Arabidopsis thaliana: one gene and its partners. The protein of the gene in region 1 purifies or fractionates together with the protein of each later gene. This does not show direct contact. Each region holds a gene or a part of one and is shown in the gene's direction. Other genes may lie near its edges. The genes, in order: LSH10, AT1G26550 and HB22.

Region 1 (8,303 bases):
TTATAGTTTATTTTCTGTGACGTTATTATCACCATGAACTTAGTTATTTTTTGTTTTGAATAATACTTCTGCATTCATTGTGATCGATATCACTAAAAAAAATACATCATGTAGCGTCAATTGTGTATATCGTTTAAGTCAGTTTTCAGTGATTAAAAAAATTACGTTAAGTCGTTTGCCAAAAAAAAGAAAAAAAAAAACTTACGTTAACTCTAAGTAACTGTTGTTAATATCCTTTTCATTTTTCAATTTTAAATCCTTTACACAAGTGATGTTGAATAAATGATGTGTTCAAGCGTTTTTTCGTAATGTGATAATAATAGCCATATAAAACCAACGCATTATTAATCGTGTGGGTTCATAAACTTTAAGAATGCCATTCATATTCAAACGAATAAAACCTAAGTATATAGAGACAACTTTGTAAACATTTAAAAAGTTATAGAAAAATAATGGCAAAAGGGAAAAAAAATATTAAATATCATATCCTAAACAGTCAAATTTGACAGGTTGGAAAATAATATGCCTACGCACGTGTCGTAACACATCACATGCCCTCTCTTTTGTTCTTTTCTCGTTTCTCTTCAACTTCAGTAGTTCACATGGTAGTTAACCATTTTTAGTTTCCTCTAGTTCTCTAAAGTTAAAGAACAAGACATGAATTAAAGAATTTTTGATGAAATCTTAAATTGCTTTGACTACATACTCTCTTTTTTTTTTTTGGTCAAGCTGACTCTATATACCTTAAGAAAATATGACTTCACTGTCGCTAGACGTCGTCAACAAACCAATGAGAATTATAGCCTAAATTCATTATGTGCTAACATTTCATATATGCTACTGTTTGCAATTTTTCATAGCTATAACGGTGACAAATCCATCTTAAATTGCAAGGGATCGAATACACGGAAGCAATTTGGTTAGAAACGGCCATAAAATGACGATCATCATCTATTACTAACTTTCTATGCTTTACATGATATATTTCCATATTCAAACGAGTTCTTTTGGCTATTATGTAAATTAATAATATGTTGAAATATAAATTAACAGGTGTTACTTTCTTCTCCTCAACATGACGTAAATATCAGGTTTTCTTACTTCCAAATCATTACAACTTAGAATTTCAAAACCATCTTTCCCATCAAAAAGAAATTACAAAAAAGACAAATTTTCAAGATGCAAGTTACTCCGAATTGGAATGGGTTCAACCATATTAAACCAAATCAAAATATGGTATGATTTATTCTAGTTCAATTATACTATATTATTAAATTCTGAATGTTGATATGTATAGCGACATATATGTAAGTATCCTATTAAAGATAAGCGATTAATTCTGATGGAACATGATAAAAGAAACCATATGTAACATAGGTAGAATATATAGTGGTTAGTGAGTCATAACCTATTACCTAGTTTTCATGAACCAATCAGGGACATAGATGCTCACTCTACTTTGCATCTCGCTCAATTATTATTTTCATTATAATATTATTATATTGCATTTCATTGAAAAAAGGAAAAAAAGAAAGGACTAAATCTATCGTTAAATTAGGCTTTAATTAGATTTTATAAAAACATCATGTGCAATGTATTTCGGAGAAAAAAACAAGATCCCTAATTAGAATTTGTTGAAGCATTTAATGAAAAATTGACAATGATTTTGACTGGTACTTAACGCCTTCCTTTTTAGTGTCGCTGAACTCCTTCCATTTGATAAAATGAAATGTTTCGTAAGAAATTTCACTCGTACAAGTAGTAATAAACTATTTGAATTACCAAATATATATTTGGAGATTTTTTTATCTTAACTTGCAATTCATTTATTGTTTCAAATAAATAAATTTTATCATTAGTCAATTATAACGGATGGAAACATGTAATATACTGGTTTGCATTGTATCATAATTGATATGAATTTCGAAAATGTATGCGTATATAAATTATAGATGACACAAAACAACCAACAAAATCTATAATGTATTTGAAGTTATCAAGTACATGAAAAATGCAAAGCATCCATATTTACGAAACAAAAATCTAGAGTTAAAAAACAATTGAAATCTGATGGGGACAAGAAGTGAACCCTACAACGAATTTTAGATAAACAGCATCACTCTATATCAACAAAAATTGATTGAAATTAAAGTTGCAAATCTGTTTATAGAAAGAAAAAAACAAATTGATATATCAATGATATGAACAACTCATCTATACTGAAAAGAACTATCATTTTTCCTTTTCGTTGATATCGTAAAATACGAGAAATGAAAACGATCATATATCAAACTGTTATAATTGGTACGCCGAATATATTCCGCCTGTCCGGAAAATTGGATGGACTATAAGTAGCTAGGCGTGTCAACATAGAAATTGGTATCAACGATTCTAGTATTATTTGTATATCATTAATATTTATTAAAATATAGTCTAAAAGTGATCCACTCTAATCTGATTCGCTGACAAACCAATCTGTATTTTCAACCTGGCCGTTTTTCATCCTACGGCGTGTTAAACCCTCGTAGACAAATCCACAACGTTTTTTCACATCCTTATATATATGTGTGTGTGTAAATATTGCTTCGTCCAACAAGAAGAGTATTGTTTGTAGTTTTTTAATCAATAGAAAATGTTATCATACAACCCACAATGAGCTAACTAACACATTTCCCAAGTATAAAATCCCTTTAGAAAACTATATATGATCTTGAGCTGAAGTCCAAATAGTCTCTGACTCTCTGAAATCGATGTAAGCATTGAATCTTCTAACCATTATAAAGACATATACAGTATCCAATTTTGAAATCGTGGTGGAGAACTCAAACTTGGTGATCTTTCAACAAAAACTATGTAAATCTTTTTAGCCAATGAATTTGATTAATAAATACTGATACGTAATTAGTTAAGAGAGAGAGAGGAAGAAAGAAAACAAAATTTTGAAAGGGCCCATAACATGTCCTCTCTAACGTCAACATCATCTGCTACTATTACTTTCACCCTCTCATCAAACTCACTCAACCTTTCATCTTTCTTTCTTATTACATAATTCTTCAGATCCATAAAACAAATTGATCCCTTAACCTTCTTCACCAACATCTCTCTTACACTCAACAAGAGATCATATCATGTCCTCTCCAAGAGAAAGAGGAAAGAGTTTGATGGAATCATCAGGATCAGAGCCACCGGTGACACCAAGCCGTTACGAGTCGCAGAAGAGACGTGACTGGAACACTTTCGGACAGTACTTGAAGAATCAGAGACCGCCTGTGCCGATGTCTCACTGCAGCTGTAACCACGTGCTTGATTTCCTCAGGTACTTAGACCAGTTCGGTAAGACAAAGGTGCACGTGCCTGGCTGTATGTTCTACGGCCAGCCTGAGCCACCAGCTCCTTGCACGTGCCCTCTCAGACAAGCTTGGGGAAGTCTTGACGCTTTGATCGGACGGCTGAGAGCGGCTTACGAGGAGAACGGTGGACCTCCGGAGACTAACCCTTTCGCTAGCGGAGCGATAAGGGTTTATCTGAGGGAGGTTAGGGAGTGTCAGGCTAAGGCTAGAGGGATTCCTTACAAGAAGAAGAAGAAGAAGAAGCCAACGCCGGAGATGGGAGGTGGGAGAGAGGACTCTTCTTCCTCCTCCTCTTCCTTCAGCTTCTCTTAAGAGATTCTCCATCGTCGTGAAAGACTTTGTGGTAATATATGTTTCCAATATGTGACTTTGCATAATTTACATATAAAGCAAGCATATCTGCATCATTTATATATAACATATAGATTTTGATTGATATAATATATATTATACTATGTATCAAAAACCCTAATTGGAGATACAATTAGGCTTTTGATTTCTGTGAATGATCAGCTAAATTTTTTTCTTGATATTGGGTTCGGAATTAAGGGACCGGTTTGTGATTAGATCTTAGGTTTCAGTGGAAGTAGATGTGTTTTGGAATGATTTCTTTTAAATCATTTTAGCTCTTCGAATGCAAGTTGATTTTAGTTTTGAAATAATATAAAGGAAGATGTGTTTTCTAGTTTCTAGCATGTAAAATCAATTCTTGAATAGATGATTCATTAAATCTCTAACATTAAAGTAAACTAAAAACAGATTTATTCAAAACCTTAATTTGAAAATGCATCAGACTTTCTAAGCTATGTATATGTGAAATTATAGACTATTCAAGTTTATCCTAGTGAACAACTCATTCAAGATTTGGAAAACGTACATTTGATTCTCAAAAGTTGAATCCTTTCTTTATCAACCATGTATGTATAGTTGAATATTGGTATATATGGGCCGTGTGTACACATTGTACCACTGTTATTTATATAAATAGTACGTAGTTCAATGAAGTAATGATTGGCTCTTGGAAGGCTTCTCTTTAAAGATTTTTGTAGATTTTGTTCCCCATTGGTGATCAAGGGAGGAGTTGATTGAACCTTTTACCCCCATTTTTATAACCTAAAGAAATATTGAGATTCCATGATTGTTATCAAAGGCTAAGAAGGTTATCTCAGAATAGAAATTACCTCACACATAATACTTTAACGTTTTTAATTCATACTTTTTAAACTATTGCAATGTGGGTCTTAGTAGAATGATCTCAATATGAACAATTCAACCAAATCTTTATCATATACAATCATATTAATTAGGATCTCAGATTTTAGAGCTTGGATTGTGACATGTAATTTTAGCTTTTATAAAGGCTGTTTACTGCATGATCATTGGGAATAGTTATGCATTGGCATTTTCTGAGATTATACAATTAGATTTTGTGGAAATTAAGTTTGTCTCTTTGAATTCAACTAATTAAATCATTTTTATTTTCTTTGATCTCAATTATAATTTCAGTCTTAAGTTTATATATAATTTGCTCAAATCATCTTTATGCGTCTCCTTTAGGATCTTTGTCACCACTAACTTTGGAAAAGCTTGAAAGTTGGTTTTGTCCCCCGCATAGCTTTGTAGATTTTGTTCGATTATACAAATGTGACATATGCCACAAGAAACATAATTTAAGAATATATTTTTGATGAATTCCATAGAAGTATGGGTTAAAATTAAGTCTCTCGGACATGCATGCATGCATCTCGCATAGTTATGGCTTAAACTTGAATTTATATACGTTATCCTATTTGCATCTGTGAATCTAGGTAAGCGCATATTACATGTATTTCTGGCAATGAATTAGTGAACTAATCTTGATACAATAGAACTTGGCAGGATCAGTAAGTCTCAAAGAGGGATCAAATGTAAAAGAGACCTCAAATCTATCTACTGGTATCTTCAACATATCTTTCGGGACCATTTTTGCAGCTCTTCGTCCCCTCCTCTTCATTTCCGCAGATCTCCGTCGTCATAAATATCTTCATCTATTCTCTTATTAAGCTCTATTCATATTTATTCTCTTATTAAGCACTTTTCTTTTGAATAAAGTAAGTGTAAAGAGTTTATATATTGAATTCAGGTGTGTTTTGTACTTCTTATGTGGATCAGCGTACTTCTATGTCTTATATAAGTCCAACATATTGGATTTAAATGAAAATTACAATGGACTATATATGGTGGAATAGCAGAGTCCGATGACCAATTATAATTTTTGTTTTTGGAGTATTCTAAAATTGATGGATCGACGTAATTATAACTTAGAGAAGAAAGTGATCAATGGATTAGCTTCAAAACAATCTGTTTGAAAATAGTATAAAAAGTTGTTTCCTGACTGATGTTCCCAACAAATAAGAGAAAACCTTGAAATTTAAACTTGTAAAAAACAATGTTTGTAAATGTTAAGTCTAGATGAAAAAGACAAAAACAAGTTGGAGGAAAATAAATCTAGTTAAACAGAAATACCATTACATTTTATTAATTTTCCCCCAAAACGACGAGTACATGGTGTTATAATATGATAGGAAAAGTCGTTTACAAAACAATCTTGGTAGGGCAAGTTCATATTTGTCTTCATCGGAATTGGCTTTATTGTTTTCTAATTATCAAGCATATTGTGTAAATCCAGCGATGATATACCTATAGCTCAGCTGGTGTATTAATTTATGTTTTTCTAATAGATCAAAGTTATGAGTCTGAGTCTCAACAATAGTGAAGAGATTATTTTGTAAGAGTAACAGTTTTCATCTTCTCTCTAAGGAAAGTATGGTCTTCATGAATTTTGAATAACACTTTGAGAATCTTGTAAGTTGAATAACAAGAGCAATGATACTCCACAAAAATAATGATTTGTATGTTCCCGTATAGAAATGATAATTGAGCATATTTTTCAATTCTTCATGCCTAATTAACTAGATTTTAACATGGCTTTGGCCTTTTGTGTGTCGCCCGTTAACTAACCTCATTTTTTTTTACATTTACAATTTCATGTAAAATATTGATTATAGTTTTATGTTACATTTTTGTTTTAAACTCCTCTTCTCTAAAAATAATGTATGTCTTCATCTCCGCTATCATCAACAAGCTTCGTCGGATTCCTTCAATAGCTTCGGTCTCCTTCATCTTAAAGCAACACAACTCTCATCGTGAGACTAGTATAAGCACAAACCTCGATCACTTTATTTCATATGGAAGCAAAGGAATGTTCGTCTCCAAACCTAAAATCGCGGCCTCTGGCTTCGCTCATTGAAGAAATCACTCGTATCATCTGAGTACGTGTAGGACCCCTCTTCGAGCTCAATCTCTTCACACCAATAGAGAAACGTATTGTCCACTTGTTTTCTCGCCTCTTTCTCCATCGCACGTCACCGACACTTGTGACTCCTATTTAAAGTCTCAACTATCTCTTTTCTAAACATGCATATGTTCTATGCTGTGTTTAATCTTTTGCTCCTTTCCCAATAACAATTACTCCCTCTGTACAGTTTGTAGAAAGAACAACAAAAAGCTCGAAAAGCAAATTTTAATAAATTTTGTTGACATATAATCTAAATGGGCCACATAAGATAACTTAAATAAGCCCAATTTTGTAGTAACATAACCCAATATGCTAGGCCCATAGCCTCTCGACTGTTTCCCAGTTCTCTCTTCTCAGCTCCTTATCACAAGTCAACAACTATCATGTCATTACCTAACCTAGTGAGCTACGATTTATTATATCTAATTCTTAAAAAGTAATTGTTCCTTCAAATGGTATGTTGCTTCTGACAAATCAAAACATCCACCAATTTTGCTGTACCCAAAATAAAATCTATAAACTATCCGGAATAAACTATATCTATCAAACTAAACTAAAAAATTATCAGCTCAAGAATTAAATCTGATCTCGATTTCAAAAACATAATTACACATTGAAAATTTCAACCACAACATCGTCGTTACACAAAACCGTTGGAACGAACGTGGAGATCGGACGAAAGACATTAAATGATAAACCCGAGATGTCGAACCCACATGTGACACGTGGAATTCTAGAAACTGCTTTGTTACTAGACGTCCACGTCATCAATCTTTGAAAGAAAAAAAAGAGAAAAACGACAAGCAAGGCAACGTCGTGAGAGTGAGACAGCATGGTGTACTTTGAAGGATTAGATTTTTAAGTTACGGAACACAAACATTTACTTCACGTCACCACTTATCTACTTCCACGTCACTCTCTTTTCCCACCACTTCTTTTTTGGCCATTCTCATTACTCTTATAACTAATTTTCTTTCGGTCATTAAATTCAAAACCCGGGCCCAGGCCCACCAAAGCTTCCAGTAATTGGTCTATTTTTTCACAACTACAAATTAATTTTATACGATTTTTTTTCCTTTTTGTATCGTTTGCGTATAACTTTTTAGGTTAGGACGATTTTAATAACATATCATCAGTTTGAGAAAAGTAACACTAGCTAGCACATAAGAGCAACTCCATTGCACATCAATGAGAGGGTCTTTCTATAACTATAATATAATATATGTAAAGAAAATATATTACTTTAATGTTTGAGTATCTTTAAACTAAAGACATTTTATGGTAAATGTCTTGTTAGAGACATTTTTGAGAGTGTGTCTCAAATTTAAAGACCCATCACATTTTATTATTAGTATTTTATAACTTCAAATTTTTTTAATATTTATGAAAGACACTCTCCATAATGTGCCATGGAAGTGCTCTAATATTTCAACAGAAGTGAAGATCGGATTCAAGAAATTTTAGTGGCCATAACATATGAAAAATTGAATGACATGTAAGATTTAAGAAGTTAAATCTTTTTGGAGCCCACTTGTTCAAGATCCACCTTACTACACCCAATCGAATTAGATTTTTTTTTCCTTTTCTTTTGGGTTATAGAGGAGTTCCAATTTTAG
Region 2 (7,634 bases), on another chromosome or scaffold:
TGCTTGAAGAAACATCGAGCTGCAGCTTTTTTACTTCTTCTAATAACCCATAGAAACTCACCATCATGCCAACTGCTGACCATTCACGAATATCTTCTTTGAACTCCAACAACGGGCTAAAATGAGGATTCTGTGGCACTGTCTTGTATCCCTTCTCCATTTCATATGTCTTCCAAAATGGCAAATTCTTTGTAAAAGGCTCAATCGTTAGTGCACCTTTTGCTTGAGTTTCCTCAACATCAGCAGCAGAATTATCCACCACATTCGAGCTCTGATCAGAGGATAGCACTACATAAACCAATGCAAAATAAAATTATAAAAAATTTGTTCAAGCATATAAACCTGATTGTTTAATAAAGGATACATCTAAGCTACTTTGAATAGAAATTGCTTTAGTATATTGAACCGAACCTGTAGGTATATTTATCCAAGAAGAGAGAGGCTGATCATCAACATCATCAACACGTATAGTATCACTTGTACCGTTGACCCCAGCCTTTGAAACATTGCAAGTCTCATCTACAAGTTTTAACCAAGGATATGATAAAGTTTGGCAAGAAACAAAGAATACCAAAACTAATATGGCCAATGCTGATTTTAGACATACCAGTTTCATTCAGGTTAGAGTTTTGATTTTGTTCTCTTTTCCTTTTTCTACTCTTTTCGTTGCTATTCTCCTCCTCAGGCATCTGCATTCAAAAACAATTAACAATCAGGAAGGCTAAAGATAATAAGCACCATCTAGTGGAAGTGAGAATGGTTATGTTTCAAACAACAAACTAGCTTTACCTCGTGTTGAGTTGAACTATTTTCCAAGCCATTCTGATGCTTCACTGGCTCAGGTGTCTTCTTTGGGGATTTTTTTCCTTCAGTTTCAGCATCTTGTTGTTTCAATGGTGTGACTGTTATGACCGGGGCTGGGGTACATGTGAAACAGATTCACATTGACATTAAAGATCAGTATTAAGCGATGTAGAAACTAAACACAATGAGTTAAGGAAGATTATGTTTACCTATTGATGTTTCTTGAGGGGTTATGAGCAGATGAGTTTTGTCATTCATCACAGCATCAGCCTTGTTTTTTCCTAATTCTCTAGTGGCCTAATTTCAGGTAACGCAGATATGTTAAGCATAATCAAAGACATGGCGAAAGCAAAGGAAACTAGTGAGTGTCTAACTTACAGATACAAATTTTGCTTTAGTGGGTGTCTCGCTAATTTCCTTAGAATTCAGGAAACTTCTCAAATGCTTTGTGGCACTCGTAGGAGTCATTGACTTAGCAGCAGAACAAGAGCGCATTGGCTTCCTTTTCAAGATGGTTGGAGGAGTTTCTTTTATGGGTTTTTGCTGAAAATAGAAACAAACATAAAGCATTCATACCAATAAACCAAAACTGTCAGAATGTTGATTGAAACTAGTGTAATTGATACCTTTAGATCGTTATACCAAACTCCATCTTCCCACACCATGAAAGGCCTAAGATCTGAGTGTCTTATTGTAGATTCCTGCTGTGTAGCCTCTAATCTAACCGTGTAACGGTTCTCAGAGAGAATTTTCCTCACTTGCCCTTTATGCCATCCCAAACCAGAAAACGTCTCTACAGATTCCAACAATGCATACTTGTCAACTGAAGAAGGAGGCGGTATGGGTCTAACACGGCGCGAATTAACAATGTTGGTTGGTCTCGCCTCATCACCATTGCAGCTCAGGTACCTATTACAGTCCTTGACAATGAATTTCTTCTTATCATCCACATCAGTCTCTTTGACTACCATTGCAGGGGACCACACAGCTTCTTTGGCAGAAAACACTTCCACCATTGTCCCGGGGCTAAACATGGACTTATTCGATTCCTTCAAAGACAACAAATTAAAGTCTACTTTTAAGCATTCACAACCAAAACTAAACCTTTAATAATTTTAATCATAGCATATAACAAGAACAAAGAAAGCAACAAAATTTTGACAGCTACAAGCAAAAACAACACCGGATTTAAGAAAGGATCTCTTAACCATGGAACTATAACACTCAACAAACGAAAAATAGAGAAAAGTTTCAGCCTTTTGAAACTAAAGCTGAAACCTTTAACCATAACACGCAACCAGACTCAAAACGGATTAAAGCTTCAACCTTTTTGAAAGAGAGCAACAAAGAGACAGTTTCAAACATTCAAGCAAAGACCCACTTCGAATAAATCAACCTCATACCTCAATTTCTGGTTGGATCCAAGTCCCACCGGTCCAGATAAGATGAGTCCGCAACTGCTTTCTCTCGAACTGTATAATGTCAGGAGGCAAATCAAAATAAACCAAATAGTTGTCGTCCTCCATTTTCTTTACGACAACACCAGTCCACCACCCGTCTTTGTGGTCAGCATCCACCAGCAAACCTTCCTCCAAAACGACGTCTTTTTGTTGATTCTCCTCCGGAGGTACAGGTCTAATGAATCTCTGTTCGATGTGTTCGATTAAGGGAGACGAACCGTCCATGTCCAGCAACGTCGAGTAACGAACACGAAGCTTTCTGCGAGATGAGTTCCCTGGGTTTTCCTCTAAAACAGCTCTGAACCAAGCTCCTTCGAACCCTTCCTCTTCAGAACTGACTTCAACTACACAATCTTTCGTTATCTTCATCGTTTGCAGCTCCATCTCCGGAAAGTGAAAAATGTGGTTACTTTGTAGAAATAATCAAAACCCAGAACCCAAATAAGCAAAGAGTGAAGCAAAAAACCTCCCTTTTGTAAAACCCTAAAATTTCACTCTGATACTGAAAGACAGCTAGCTCTACAAATGAAAAGCAGAGACAGACATTTACGAAAATAGGAAAAATATTTATTTTCTTTTTGGCGCGATTAAATTTACGAAAAATAGAAAATATTTGATAAGAAGAGTATCTTATTGGGCCTAATAGCCCAACCATGAATGGCCAAGCCCATATTAATGAATGGGTTTAATGTTCCATCTCTAATCCCCACAAGACTTTTCAGCAAACAAATCTCTCTTTCTCTCTCTCACTCTCTGCTCGATCGTTCAATCTGATAGAAGAAGAATCTCAAGGTAAAGTTCTCGACTTTGTAAATTTCTTGGCTTCTCAATCAAATATTTCATTCCACTTTTAATAGTAACCTTTTGTGTTTTCTCCGATTGGTTTTGTAAACTGTTGGTCAATTCTCTGATTTTTAGGCTAGAAATTGAAAACTGGGGTTTATGTTATTTGCGCTAAATCTTCCGTCTAGATAATTGTTTTTCCATTTGCGATGTTATCTTGTGCATGGACGCACCGGTTCTATATTGGGCTCTTTGCGTTTCGATTGTCCAAATGTTAAATTACTCATTTTTTAATCTGTAATCTTGTTTTGTGTTTTGATCATTCTGAATTTGATGGATCTTAGCTTACTAAGTGTTTGATTAAATTCCCCAAAAGTTTCGGGTTGAAGCATTTTTTTAAGTTTACAAATTTGTATATCTGCTTCCAGTGTAGTAGATTCCAAGTCACTTGCATTTGGCTTTAAATCTGCATTGAAAAGTTCACTGGATTTATTTCAGGGTTTAGGGTTTACAAGATGTGTGTGGTGATGTTAAAAGTTAAAACCCTGTAATCTGATGGTGATAATAAAGTTTTAATCGTGGTTGTTTTTTATAGTTTTAATTCGATGGGGAAGGACGCAAAAGCTGGTGGGAAGGGTAAAGGAAAGCAAGCAAGTGGTAGTGAAGAAGCTCCCTCCAAGGGTAAAGGAAAAGCAGGAAAAGCTGCAGATGGTCTTGGGACATGCACTTATGTTAAAGGTGTGTTTTTTGGATTCGTTTCTGTGCCTGTTACCTTTGTTCATGAGTAAAAAATACTGGTAAACAAATATGGATCCAAAAGTTCTCTTACAACTTTTGTATTAGTACAATAGCATTAAAGTCAAATCTCCAATTGTTTTTGTTTCAGCAAGACATGTTTTGTGCGAGAAGCAAGGAAAGATCAACGAGGCCTACAAAAAGTTGCAGGATGGTTGGTTGAGCAACGGAGACAAGGTTCCTCCTGCTGAGTTTGCAAAGGTGAATATCCTTCTTCTTTTTTGTCTATGAGATCAAAACATCAATCTAAGATAGTTCAGATAGTATTGTTTATTCCATCTCTAACTGTGATATGTACGTAACCGCTTATAGAAAACCCACATTCAATACCTCATAGTTCATTGCTTTCCCGACATCTACAAGTTTCAGTTTTCGGTTAGATATATTTCGATAGATGTGTGTTATGAATTGTGGAGAATCTTAACACGATTTGTGTGTGGAACGATCTCAGATTGCAGCAGAGTACTCTGAGTGTCCATCAGGGAAAAAAGGAGGAGATCTTGGATGGTTCCCTCGAGGAAAGATGGCAGGTCCATTCCAAGATGTCGCCTTTAATACACCTGTTGGAGTCACCAGTGCACCCTTCAAATCAACGTATGTCCAAATCCGATCTCTTCTTTCTTCTCTTCTATCTGAATTTATCTTTATTAGTGGATGATGAATGTAATTGCGTGGTAATTGCAGGCACGGATACCACATTATTTTATCAGAGGGAAGGAAGAACTGACAGATACATCTCTGCTCTGCTACTTTTATGGAAGTTGCTACTGTAACCTTAAAAAAAACACAGCCTTTGTTGTTTTGGCCAAATTGTTAAAAAAACTTGTCTCGTTTTGAATAATGAATGCGTAACGGCCATAATATATGCCGGGTGTTGATTTCTGAAGTCTGAATATTGAGACACCATCTCTATTATAAGCTCGTCGCTTGGTTTCTTTGGCTTTGAGAACATTTTGAATTTGCCCGTAAGAAAAAATTGGTTTCTAAGCTGCTGGCTGTAGCTTAGAGAGGGTTGATGATTTGATACTGGCTATTCCTAACAATTATAACTTGGTACGAAATCGTTTTCGAATCATTGATTAATAAAGGTCATACGTGTGAACACAAGTGTAAAAGTGTGACGTTATTGCATGAGCATCTGAAAAACAGAGTGAAGAGAGGTGTGTAATGTGGGTCGTTGACTTGTTAGTGTGAATCTAACAAACGCATATTATGATCCATAATTGCGCAAACCCCTAATCCTCCATCCACTTTTTCATAAAAGAAACAATAATGGTTAATGAGATTTGTTGTCGCGTTACAAATTTCAAAACAACTTAACATTTCAATGACTTCATGAGCCAATAATTAGCACTTGTGTTGTGACTTATACATTCATTCATTAGTCAGATGAAATCTCTTACATATTTTTTTAAAAAACAATCACAACACATCTATTTAAGAAGAAGAAGAAAAAAAAGTAAATGCTCAACATAAAGTAATTGATTTAGAGAATAAAATCCGGGGAAAAAAATGTATTATTTGGAAGAAAAAAAAAAGAAGCAAATGGGAACACAAGCCTTTTTCATATAAGAGGGTCACAATCACAAATACATAACCTCAATGTGTGAACAAATATGAAAACTCAAATGCAGCATTTAGTTTTATTAACATGAAATGTATTATGTGGAAATTTACCAAATCAATCATATAATGTATCTTAAGTTTAAGTACAAGCAATTATACCTAAAAAGTTTAAAACTATAGACAAAGATTACTAAAATATAATCCACGTTTAACACAAACTATCAGAAGTCTATTTGGCTAGGTATAACGAAAGCAACAAATCCCTCTTTAAAAAAGAAAGCAAGATTATTAACTAATGTAATTATGAATACAATCAACGCAAATTAAAATCATAGAATGTAAAATTTGTAACGAAAAACGAGAACACGGTAAATATGACTAACGTGTTTTAATCTAACAAAAAACACCAAGATACGTTGCATCACAAGTGGATAATTGTGCAAAATTCCACATCTTCATTGTTAAAGCAAAATATTGTTTAAAACCAATAATAATTCGATACGTGTCAAGCGTGATAACTTTAACAAAATTAAGCAACTAATTAAGCACTTGAATAACTTCGCGAGACACTCGTAATAATTTCCACTTCTGAACTTCTATATTCATTAATTAATCAAATGAATCTCCTACTTACGCACACCGGCGGACCTATTAAGAAAGAAGGGGGTCAAGTGACCCCATTAATTATAAAAATATAATTTATTACATGTAAGTTTATATACTTACCCTGTTTTTTTGTTGATTGCTGCGACAAGCACCGGCGGCACAAAATATAAAAGAAAAAAGAAGGAGAGATGAAGGTGAGATGAATGAAAGAGTCGCAGCGATAGATCTGAAGAGATAGGAGAAAGAGAATTTGAGACGCTAAAAATTCCAGCGTCTACGGAATGGCCGAATTACAGTCACTGCGGCAGAGATGAAAGAGAGGAGAAATGAAAGTGAAAGAGAGATGAGAGCTTTTTTTAGATCGCAGGTAGCTGACTTAGCGATCAATCAAAAAACAGGGCCAGTGTATAACTAATTAACTAACAAAAATAAAATACATTAGCCACATATGTCCATTATAACTTCCCACTAATTTTATCTTATCAATAATTTTTACTTTTTGATGCAATCTTTTTCTGTTGTCTACTTTTCGTGGTTTTTTGTGTATTATCATTTTCTCTGTTGGCAACTTTGATTCTTATATTATTAGTTGTTTGATTGTCATTTTTTTCCATTCGCTTTAAGCCAAAGGTTATTTGAGATGCTCACAGAATTTTTAGACAAAAAGCAAATGGGAACAAAAGCCTTATAATAAGAGGGGGCCACAAAAACATCCACACTTTCACATTATCTCACGCCATACACTCGTTCCAATCTCACGATCCCATGAAGATCTCTCTTATCTAAACACATTTTATATTTTTGTTCATTTGTTAAATAAACACATTATAATTGGAAATAAAATTCTATTTACCGGAATTTTTCGTTCTTTAATAAATGGATGGAGGCATGGAGATCTACCAATCAAAGAGCAAATACTACGGTTTTATAAGATATATTATTTTTATTCAACCTTATTGAGTCAACTGATCAGTATGTTAAATATTCACATTGTTAGTTGAAGAACTATTTTTTTATATAGTTATTTTGATATAATTTCAATAATAAATGGTTTCTATAAATACTTCAAATGATAAAAATATATGATTTTTCTTTTTGTTCCTGAGTATAGTGACAATAGTCTATACTTTATCTTGAAATCTTTTTTTTTTTAAATAAGATACTTAGGTCCTGTTTGTTTGGCCATTTGGATGAACCATCTCAATGAATATTAAAACTAATGTTTGTTTTTCATGTTTTAATAGATCATCTGAATGATTCAGTTGAATGATTATTTTTAAACTCATCCAGAAAATGAAGAAAATCAGACTGAGTTTGATCTGTTCATTCTGCTGAAGATGATTCAGTCAAAATTATAAAATGTCAATAATACCCTTATTTAATTTATGGAATTACACCAAAAACCACATCTCATCTTCAGCTTTTCCTCGACACAAAACAGAGAAAATCAAAATTTTGATCTTGTGATCTCGCCGTCGTCGACGAGAATCGGTCGCCGGAGATCTCGTCGGATCCATCGCTGGAGTGTAACAGGTTTGTGTTGCTCTCTCTCTCTCTCTCTCTCTCTCTCTCTCTCTCTCTCTCTCTCTCTCTCTCTCTCTCTCTCTCTCTCTCTCTCTC
Region 3 (8,342 bases), on another chromosome or scaffold:
CATTGTTGTTGGCACTGGCTCAACACAATTGTATCAGGCTGCTCTCTATGCTCTCTCCCCACATGATGACTCCGGTCCCATTAATGTCGTGTCAGCCACACCCTATTATAGTGTGAGTCATATTTATAGCCATCTCAAAACTATCTGTATGTCTTGTTAGACACGCCATTTTGCTGGATACTAGTTTTTTTTTATAGTTATTTTAGCACATATATGTGTCAATCTAACATGTATAACCGGTTTGGTTGCAGACATACCCGTTGATTACAGACTGCCTCAAATCAGGTTTATATCGATGGGGTGGAGATGCAAAGACGTACAAAGAAGATGGTCCATACATTGAACTTGTTACATCTCCAAACAACCCTGATGGGTTCTTGAGAGAATCAGTAGTGAACAGTACTGAAGGTATATTGATCCATGATTTGGCTTACTATTGGCCACAGTATACACCGATAACATCACCAGCTGATCACGATGTTATGCTCTTCACTGCTTCAAAGAGCACTGGCCATGCAGGGATACGGATTGGGTAAGTACAATCTTTTGCTTTTGTGGGAGCAAAACAGAGAACAAGTCTCTTAAACGTTACATTCTTGTTCATTTAATTTGCAGATGGGCTTTGGTGAAAGACAGAGAGACGGCTAGGAAAATGATAGAGTACATTGAACTCAACACGATTGGGGTTTCAAAGGACTCACAGCTTAGAGTAGCCAAGGTTCTTAAGGTTGTGTCAGACAGTTGTGGGAATGTAACGGGCAAATCTTTCTTTGACCATAGTTATGATGCTATGTATGAGAGGTGGAAACTATTGAAACAAGCAGCAAAGGATACTAAACGTTTCAGTGTTCCTGATTTCGTCTCTCAACGTTGCAATTTCTTTGGCAGGGTCTTTGAGCCACAACCAGGTACGTATAAAGAAAAACAAAAGTAGAAATGATTGTAGAACCACTTCTTTTGTTTTTCATTTGGTTTGGTGTGTTTTGTGCAGCATTTGCATGGTTTAAGTGTGAAGAAGGGATAGTGGATTGTGAGAAGTTTCTTAGAGAGGAGAAGAAGATTCTAACTAAAAGTGGAAAGTACTTCGGAGATGAGCTAAGTAATGTGAGGATAAGCATGTTGGATAGAGATACTAACTTTAATATTTTCCTTCACAGGATTACATCTTCCTTTAATTCAACTTTGTAAGTGCATATGCATGTGATTATGATCGATTGTCATAACTTGCAACAAGTGTTTTGCTCCATAAATATTATTGGAAATTTGAATAATGTGAAGGATCAATCAAAGACCTATTCATCAAACCATCTCTGATGATATGAATGAGCAAACATTCATTCACTACGACACAACCGAGAGTTTGTTCAAGCGTTGTCAGCATTTTGGTCTGGAACTTTGTAATCTCGAAGGATCAGATCCAACATCTCATAGCTTTTTCAGTATTAAATTCCAGCCTTAGGTAATCCTTCAGAGTCATATCAACATTTTTGCTACGGAAGGATCATTGTCGCTACCTTCCATTTTACATTTGTGTCAGCTTTATTCACAGCACCGTTTTTTAGCCGCATCAACTTTCTTTCTTTGTATAATTCAGAAGAATGAAATCATCCAAAATCATTTATATTTCATAACAAAAATGTTTTAAAAAAGTTGAACATAAAAAAAAAAAAAAAAAATTCCAAAACACCAACTAAACTCTCAAAAATACCAAATTGTGAAAGTTTTCAAAATATAATCTCTTGTCACTCATTCATCATACTCTAAAAGTTTAACTTTCATGGTTTGTATGTGAAAAAATAAATTAAAACATTAAAATAAAGCTTTTAGAAACTAATATGTATCCACAATATACATATGGATGAGGACAATGGTGGATGTGCACAACCACACAAAAACCATTCACGTGATTGTATCTGCAAAATTCATCATCAACTTTCTCCTGACTACGCCACATCATATTTGTTTGTGGAACTATTCCATCGTCAAACGGCCGTTCGTCTTTTGTCTTTTTCCACAAATCTACTAGCTCCCTTCTCTATCAACTTGATCGTCTACATAACTCTACTTGTCTTTTTCCCTATTCACAAATTAGTCTTTTTCTTGAGATTAGTAATTATTTTGAGGCCAACTTGATCAGAATCTGAGTTTGAATTCCAATTATACCCATTCTTGAATCTTAATTGCATGTTATATTTGTTTCCAAACCTATTCATATCCTTACTCAAAACACCATGTTTGTTGTTTTCACTTTGTTTGATGCATAGCTCATAAAACATCAGCGACACAATTTCTTCACACAAAAAGATAAAAGGGTTTATAACCAAGATATAAGTTTCAAAACCTTCACCATAAGCAAGAAGCATAACAACTTCAACTTGTATACATTTTTTTCTAGTTTTGTACTAACTAGATATAGAGACACAAAAAGAGAGAAAACATGATTAAGAGTTGGAATTAATGATAAGTTGTAAATATATCTCACATAAAACGTGTTTGAATTCCATTTTAAGGATAAATGATAGTACTTCAGATCTTAAATGAATTTGTTGCAACTTGCACCATGATTTCTTTCAAACCAAAAAACAGGTCTAGACCGGGTGGTCCACAGATTTTTGGCTCACAGGAATATTCCTACATATAACACTACAACTGTACAACATACATATAGAGCAGTAGATAGTAAATTATACCGAATAAAAAAATCTAGTTACATTTCAAGTCACACGAACTGTTAGAACGGTTCATGTTAGGCTCAGCATATTTCTAAGTAATAAATTTTGAAATCGAAAAGGCTTTTCTAAGTATAGCCGGACTGAATTACTATATGAGTCGTGGACTTACCGGTCCGACGGTGAACAACTATTGGTTCCGAGAATGGTATTTCTGCGTTCAGAATTCTGTGAGTACGGATTAATAATATATTTATACTGTCAATTGTCAAAGAGCCGATTTCCGATTTAAGAAACTAATTTGTTTGATAATGAACACAAACAAGAAACCAAAATTAAGGCCGGATTTATACCCATGACACGTTATCTCTACGTCCAATGCTCTTGCCATTTGCTGTGATCCGTAAGTTCCCAAAGACACTTTTTCTTTCACCACAGTCCCACTTTTGATCTTTTTTTTTACAGTAAAGTCAGAACTCAGAAGTACCTTGAACAAAACCCTAAACGCACTTTTAATATTAATCACTCTCAAACCACCATTTAATTATTGTAAATCATATACTCCAATGGAACATACTTTTTTTACTGTACTTTTCATCAAACTCTAAAAAGGTTATGGCTTATGGGTGTTCTTTTTGGATGAAACTATCTATATATGAATATTATTCTAAAACAAACAAAAAAAAACGTAAAAAGTTGAGACTCCCTTTTATTAAGCGGCAGGGTTTGTTGACCACACTCTCATCATCTATCTCTTTCTTATCTTCACTGTTTTATCTTTTCTTTCGGATTAAATTAAATAATTTTTTCCTCCATAATTTATACTCTTAACTCTCATGAATTATTGGTCTCTCTATTATAGTTTTTTAAGTAACAATCTAATTGTAGTACGGATGTCTCTTGAGATGTTCAAGAATTAAGAAATAAAGAAAGAGGGATCGGAGAATGAATTTTGAGGATCAAGAAGAAGATATGGAGATGTCAGGTGTTAATCCCCCCTGCGGTTACGACTCTCTAAGCGGTGAGGGAGCCACATCTAGTGGTGGTGGAGGAGTAGGAAGGAGTAAAGGAGTTGGAGCGAAGATAAGGTATAGAGAGTGCTTGAAGAACCATGCTGTTAACATAGGTGGCCACGCCGTGGACGGTTGTTGCGAGTTTATGCCTTCCGGTGAAGATGGAACGCTCGACGCTCTTAAGTGTGCAGCTTGCGGCTGCCACCGCAACTTCCACCGCAAGGAAACCGAAAGCATCGGCGGTAGAGCCCACAGAGTTCCCACGTACTACAACCGCCCGCCGCAGCCGCATCAGCCGCCTGGATATCTTCATCTAACATCTCCCGCGGCGCCTTACAGGCCACCCGCGGCATCGGGGGACGAGGAGGATACATCAAATCCTAGCAGCAGCGGCGGGACCACGAAGAGGTTTAGAACGAAGTTCACGGCGGAACAGAAAGAGAAGATGTTAGCCTTTGCGGAGAGGTTGGGGTGGAGAATTCAGAAGCATGATGACGTGGCGGTTGAGCAGTTCTGTGCGGAGACTGGTGTTAGGAGACAAGTGCTTAAAATCTGGATGCATAACAACAAGAACTCTCTTGGTAAGAAACCCTAATTTTGCTCGAGACATGATTTAAAACACTAGAGGATCATAATTGTTTCTTTTTTTGGTATGACTCTTCTGTAACTACTTCTGCTTATTAGTTATGTTATTTTTTCCTGGACATACAGTTTCTTCTTCTAGTTAATAATCGTATCTGGTCGTTTCGGACAGTTTAGGAGACATTGTGATTAATCTTTATTAACTTTGGTTCGACTAGTTAATTCCATAAATTTACTGAGGATGCAATTGAATGATGAACCAAACTATCCAAATTTAAAGTACAGTGATTAAACCAACATTGGTAAACAATATAAAAGTATACTCTCTGTTATTTTCCTATATTAGTATTGCCATATACCTATGTTAATTAGATGATTATTAAAGATCCGTTGATCAAGATATGTAGCCTTGTAATTTGTGATAGTTACATATTGTTGACAAACAAATAAAATGATAAGGAGGATTAGAGCTAGGAATCAGCTATAGTCTACGTAAGTTATCTCTTATAGGGCGGTTAAAATGAACTAATCTAAGATTATCTGTAAAACTGAAGAAAAAGTTCAAAAAAGCAAGAAAATAAGATCTGGGACCGGTGAGCATGTGCAACAATGAGAAGCCATGGACGATTGTAGTCGTATAGGTGTCTAAGCATAACATGCCATTGCGGGATAATACACTCGTAATTAAAAACAACAAAACATGTTGTTTAAATAGGTAAATGTTTAAATAACATGTTATTTATTTGCTTATTACGCGTGTGATATCCATAAATAGCATATGATATACGAACTGACGCAAAACACACATATGAATAAAACAAAACGCAGTTAAGGAACATTTTTCTGTTGTAATATCCAAGTTTTGCAAGGGTCTCATTTGACCTATTTTTTCTAAATAAATTTTACATTAACTGAATATTTCCTTAGTTCATTAAACGTATTTTGATTTTGTTCAAAAAGACTTCGAACCGTTAAATCCGGATTTTATATATCATGTGAACAGAAGGAATTGAAATAATTAAACTAATGATGATTTCCGAAGGATGTCAGACGATAGATTTCCATCTTGATGAAGAAAATGACGAGAGAATTCACATTTGTCACATTCCTCTCGCTATCTTACCAAAACTCACCGCTTATCACATTAACTCTCTCCTCTCTTTTTTCTTCTTATATAAATGTGCTTTGCTTTTGTGTTGAGCTTGCTTTGAAACTTCTCACTCTTTTGTCTCTTTCACAGCACGACACAATCACACAACCCAATTATTAAATTAAGCATCAATTAATTAACGTAACGTTTTGATGTAAACATATCAAATGTAGAAAACATGGTGAAATGCTTAATTGCATAATATAAGCCACGTGTGTGAAAGTGTGTTTGGGGTTATTGGGCCGAATATTGATGGGCTTAACAAAACGAAAAAGCTTATCTCAAAATTTCTCCTTTCAATCAACAAACTTCCATGCATTTTCCTCTCGTCGATCTTCCTCTCGTCTGTTCGTGTTTCTAATACTTGTTGACTTGTTGTGAATTGTTTAACCGAGGATGTCTCGATTCGATTTGATTGATAAACCCTAGTTTCTTTCGCTCTAAGATTGGAGAAATGAAAATCTATTGTCGTTTTTAGGTTGCGGAATCATATATATTGAAAACCGCACACCCTAATTGTGAGAATCGATCTTTTTTATTAAATCAAGCTCGAATTCTAAATTTTGTTGATTTCATTCTAAGATTCGAGAAATGGAAATTTATTGTGGTTGCAAAACCTAGATTTTGATAATTGCACAGTCTACGAACCCTAATTTTAAGGAATCGGCCTTGTATAAGTTATTTTTTTTGTCTCCATGATCTTCTGAAAGCAATAAATATTGACGTTTAGGATTATGTTTTTTTATCTTCTTCAGATGGCTATCAAGTTTTCAAACGATACGAAGCGACTTCAGCTCATTAACAGCATTAGAGAAGCTCATGTTGGAGCTCACTCAAATCAAGCATGTCATTGATCTTCTCATTGATGTTTATGTTTGTGTCCCCTCTTTTTGGTCTTCGTATGAAAGCTATAAATCATCGTTTATTTAATGAAGCTGATTTGTTTGTTATTTAACTTCAATCTTGTAGAGAAGGCTAGCCTTAACACCCGAGCATATAAATGAAGAGTGATTATATATGTTGATATGCATTCCAATAAGGCTGTTTTTGATAGTTTGAGGAAGAATCCGATATTGCATTATGACGGAACAAGATTCTCTTACAAGGTAACTAAACATTTCATTCAAGGTAGATATGTTTCTCATTTTCTCTTTGAAAAAAAGTTTCACGTGTTTACAATTTTGCTTTGCCGCCATCACAGGCTACTTAACGATGTCAAGGACAAGAGACAGGTTCTTTCGTTGGTGGGTGAATACACTGATGGGATTGTGGTAGTTGTTCTCAAAGACGCTTAGCCGAATGTCATGGAGGATTTGAAGGTATGCATTGTTATAAACTTATAATTAATGAGAGAGACACAAAACAACAGTTTTGGAAATATAACTCCATATAAATATACTTTATTAATGTATCGCATGTATAGATTCTTGGTAGCAAATCTGAAATCAACGGTGACATGAGAAATGGTCGCCTTGAATCCCCTATGTTTTAAAGACTTATTTCTACTTTGAGTATGACTGAATACAAAACCGGTTTCAATCTTGAATTGTGTTTTCTATACGGCGTCAAAAGTTGTAGGATCCATCTACTGTTAGCAGATGGGGGAAATATATGATGTTTCTTGATAGCAAGAAGGTAACGGATGTCTTGTATTTTGCAGGCTCTTCAGGCTTCAGGAGACATCTGGATGTCTTATCAAATTCACGAGAGGTCATTGCGTACCCAAATGATTTAAAGAGTGAGAATCCTATTCCGTTTTGGATTATTTTAATTGATGTCAAGGATTCAAGGAAATAATTAGATGAGAACCTTTACATAGAAATCTCTTCATCTCATTTAGAAGTTACAAATCCGTCCACATTTTTTTCTACCATCCCACCGGCCATTTTTGTTTGTTGATAGAAATTGTTTTAATCGTCTTCAACCTATACATTATGTACAATAGTAAACTCAAAAACCTCATAAATTACGACCTTAAATTATATACTTTTTTTGTATCATAATCTTTGAAAAATAATCCATATAGATTTATACATTTCTAGATATACATTTCTCTAAATCATATTGTACGTAAAAATCCACATATCTTTAACCATGCATGTTTTACGTACACATTTATAAATGAAAATTTTTAATCTACGATATTATGTTTACTATTTCGCGAGGGAATGAGTCCTTGTTAAAACTATAAATAGAAATCAATATCAGTAAAAATGTATTATATTAAAATATTTATAAAGCTAATATGAAATTTTTTTATGACATTTGTTTTGCGGTGATATTAGTCCAAACTAGTTAAGACTTAAAAATCTTTTTAGTAAATAAAAGTAATAATAATAATAGTTGATCGGTTGGTCCAAGTGGCTCCTGACAATCTTCACACACGGTTCCAACACTTCCTTGTTCCATATCTTTCTCTGCATCTCGGCTACACCTTCGCCTTCCTTGGCTGCCCTAATTGCCTCTCGAAACGATGCTGTAGCATCCACCTTCTTTATGTCCCACCCGGCATTTCTCAGCTTGTTGATCTTCGTGATTTGATCCTTTGTGAGCTGAAATGTGTTTTCTTTGATGGCTCTCACCGCCTTCTCATAAGCCTCCTTTCTCATAGGGTCCCATTTATCCATGTCATTGTCCCACTTGTACATTTTGAGGTAGTCATCAAACTCTTGCACTCCTATAGCCTTCCATATCCCCAATGGCTCTTTCGGGGCCTTCTTAGAGCGGTGGAACTCAGCGATCTCCTCGAACATACCTGACTTCATCATAAGATCCAAACGTAAAGAAAGATACTCGAATAACACAGACTGATCCACATCTATCCAAATGAAACAACAATCATATTTCAACTCGGAGCAGATTGAGCCCTTGTGATCAGAAAACGGATAGTTTTCAGGGTCATAAGATTTTGCAAGGAGAGCATGAATG

What was found.
Region 2: the proteins of LSH10 (region 1) and AT1G26550 fractionate together in Arabidopsis thaliana (co-fractionation; one large-scale study listed by BioGRID). This does not show direct contact.
Region 3: the proteins of LSH10 (region 1) and HB22 fractionate together in Arabidopsis thaliana (co-fractionation; one large-scale study listed by BioGRID). This does not show direct contact.

What each region holds. Positions count from the first base shown.
Region 1 is NC_003071.7:17,744,877-17,753,179, forward strand, and holds LSH10 (LIGHT-DEPENDENT SHORT HYPOCOTYLS-like protein (DUF640)), read left to right. Parts: upstream 1-2,904; 5' UTR 2,905-3,128; coding exon 3,129-3,662; 3' UTR 3,663-3,693; intron 3,694-5,218; 3' UTR 5,219-5,648; downstream 5,649-8,303. UniProt on the Arabidopsis thaliana protein: Probable transcription regulator that acts as a developmental regulator by promoting cell growth in response to light.
Region 2 is NC_003070.9:9,168,148-9,175,781, forward strand, and holds AT1G26550 (FKBP-like peptidyl-prolyl cis-trans isomerase family protein), read left to right. Parts: upstream 1-2,970; 5' UTR 2,971-3,056; intron 3,057-3,642; 5' UTR 3,643-3,652; coding exon 3,653-3,785; intron 3,786-3,933; coding exon 3,934-4,043; intron 4,044-4,293; coding exon 4,294-4,436; intron 4,437-4,526; coding exon 4,527-4,569; 3' UTR 4,570-4,886; downstream 4,887-7,634. Other genes in the region: AT1G26540 (Agenet domain-containing protein), read right to left, coding at 1-288, 412-519, 608-689, 790-917, 1,014-1,101, 1,183-1,347, 1,431-1,853, 2,208-2,648.
Region 3 is NC_003075.7:12,720,786-12,729,127, reverse strand, and holds HB22 (homeobox protein 22), read left to right. Parts: upstream 1-3,490; 5' UTR 3,491-3,614; coding exon 3,615-4,263; coding exon of another isoform or gene 4,264-4,277; exon of another isoform or gene 4,278-4,576; intron 4,577-6,169; coding exon 6,170-6,216; downstream 6,217-8,342. Other genes in the region: TAR2 (tryptophan aminotransferase related 2), read left to right, coding at 1-112, 252-532, 616-908, 992-1,188; IPT4 (isopentenyltransferase 4), read right to left, coding at 7,706-8,342. UniProt on the Arabidopsis thaliana protein: Essential protein. Putative transcription factor.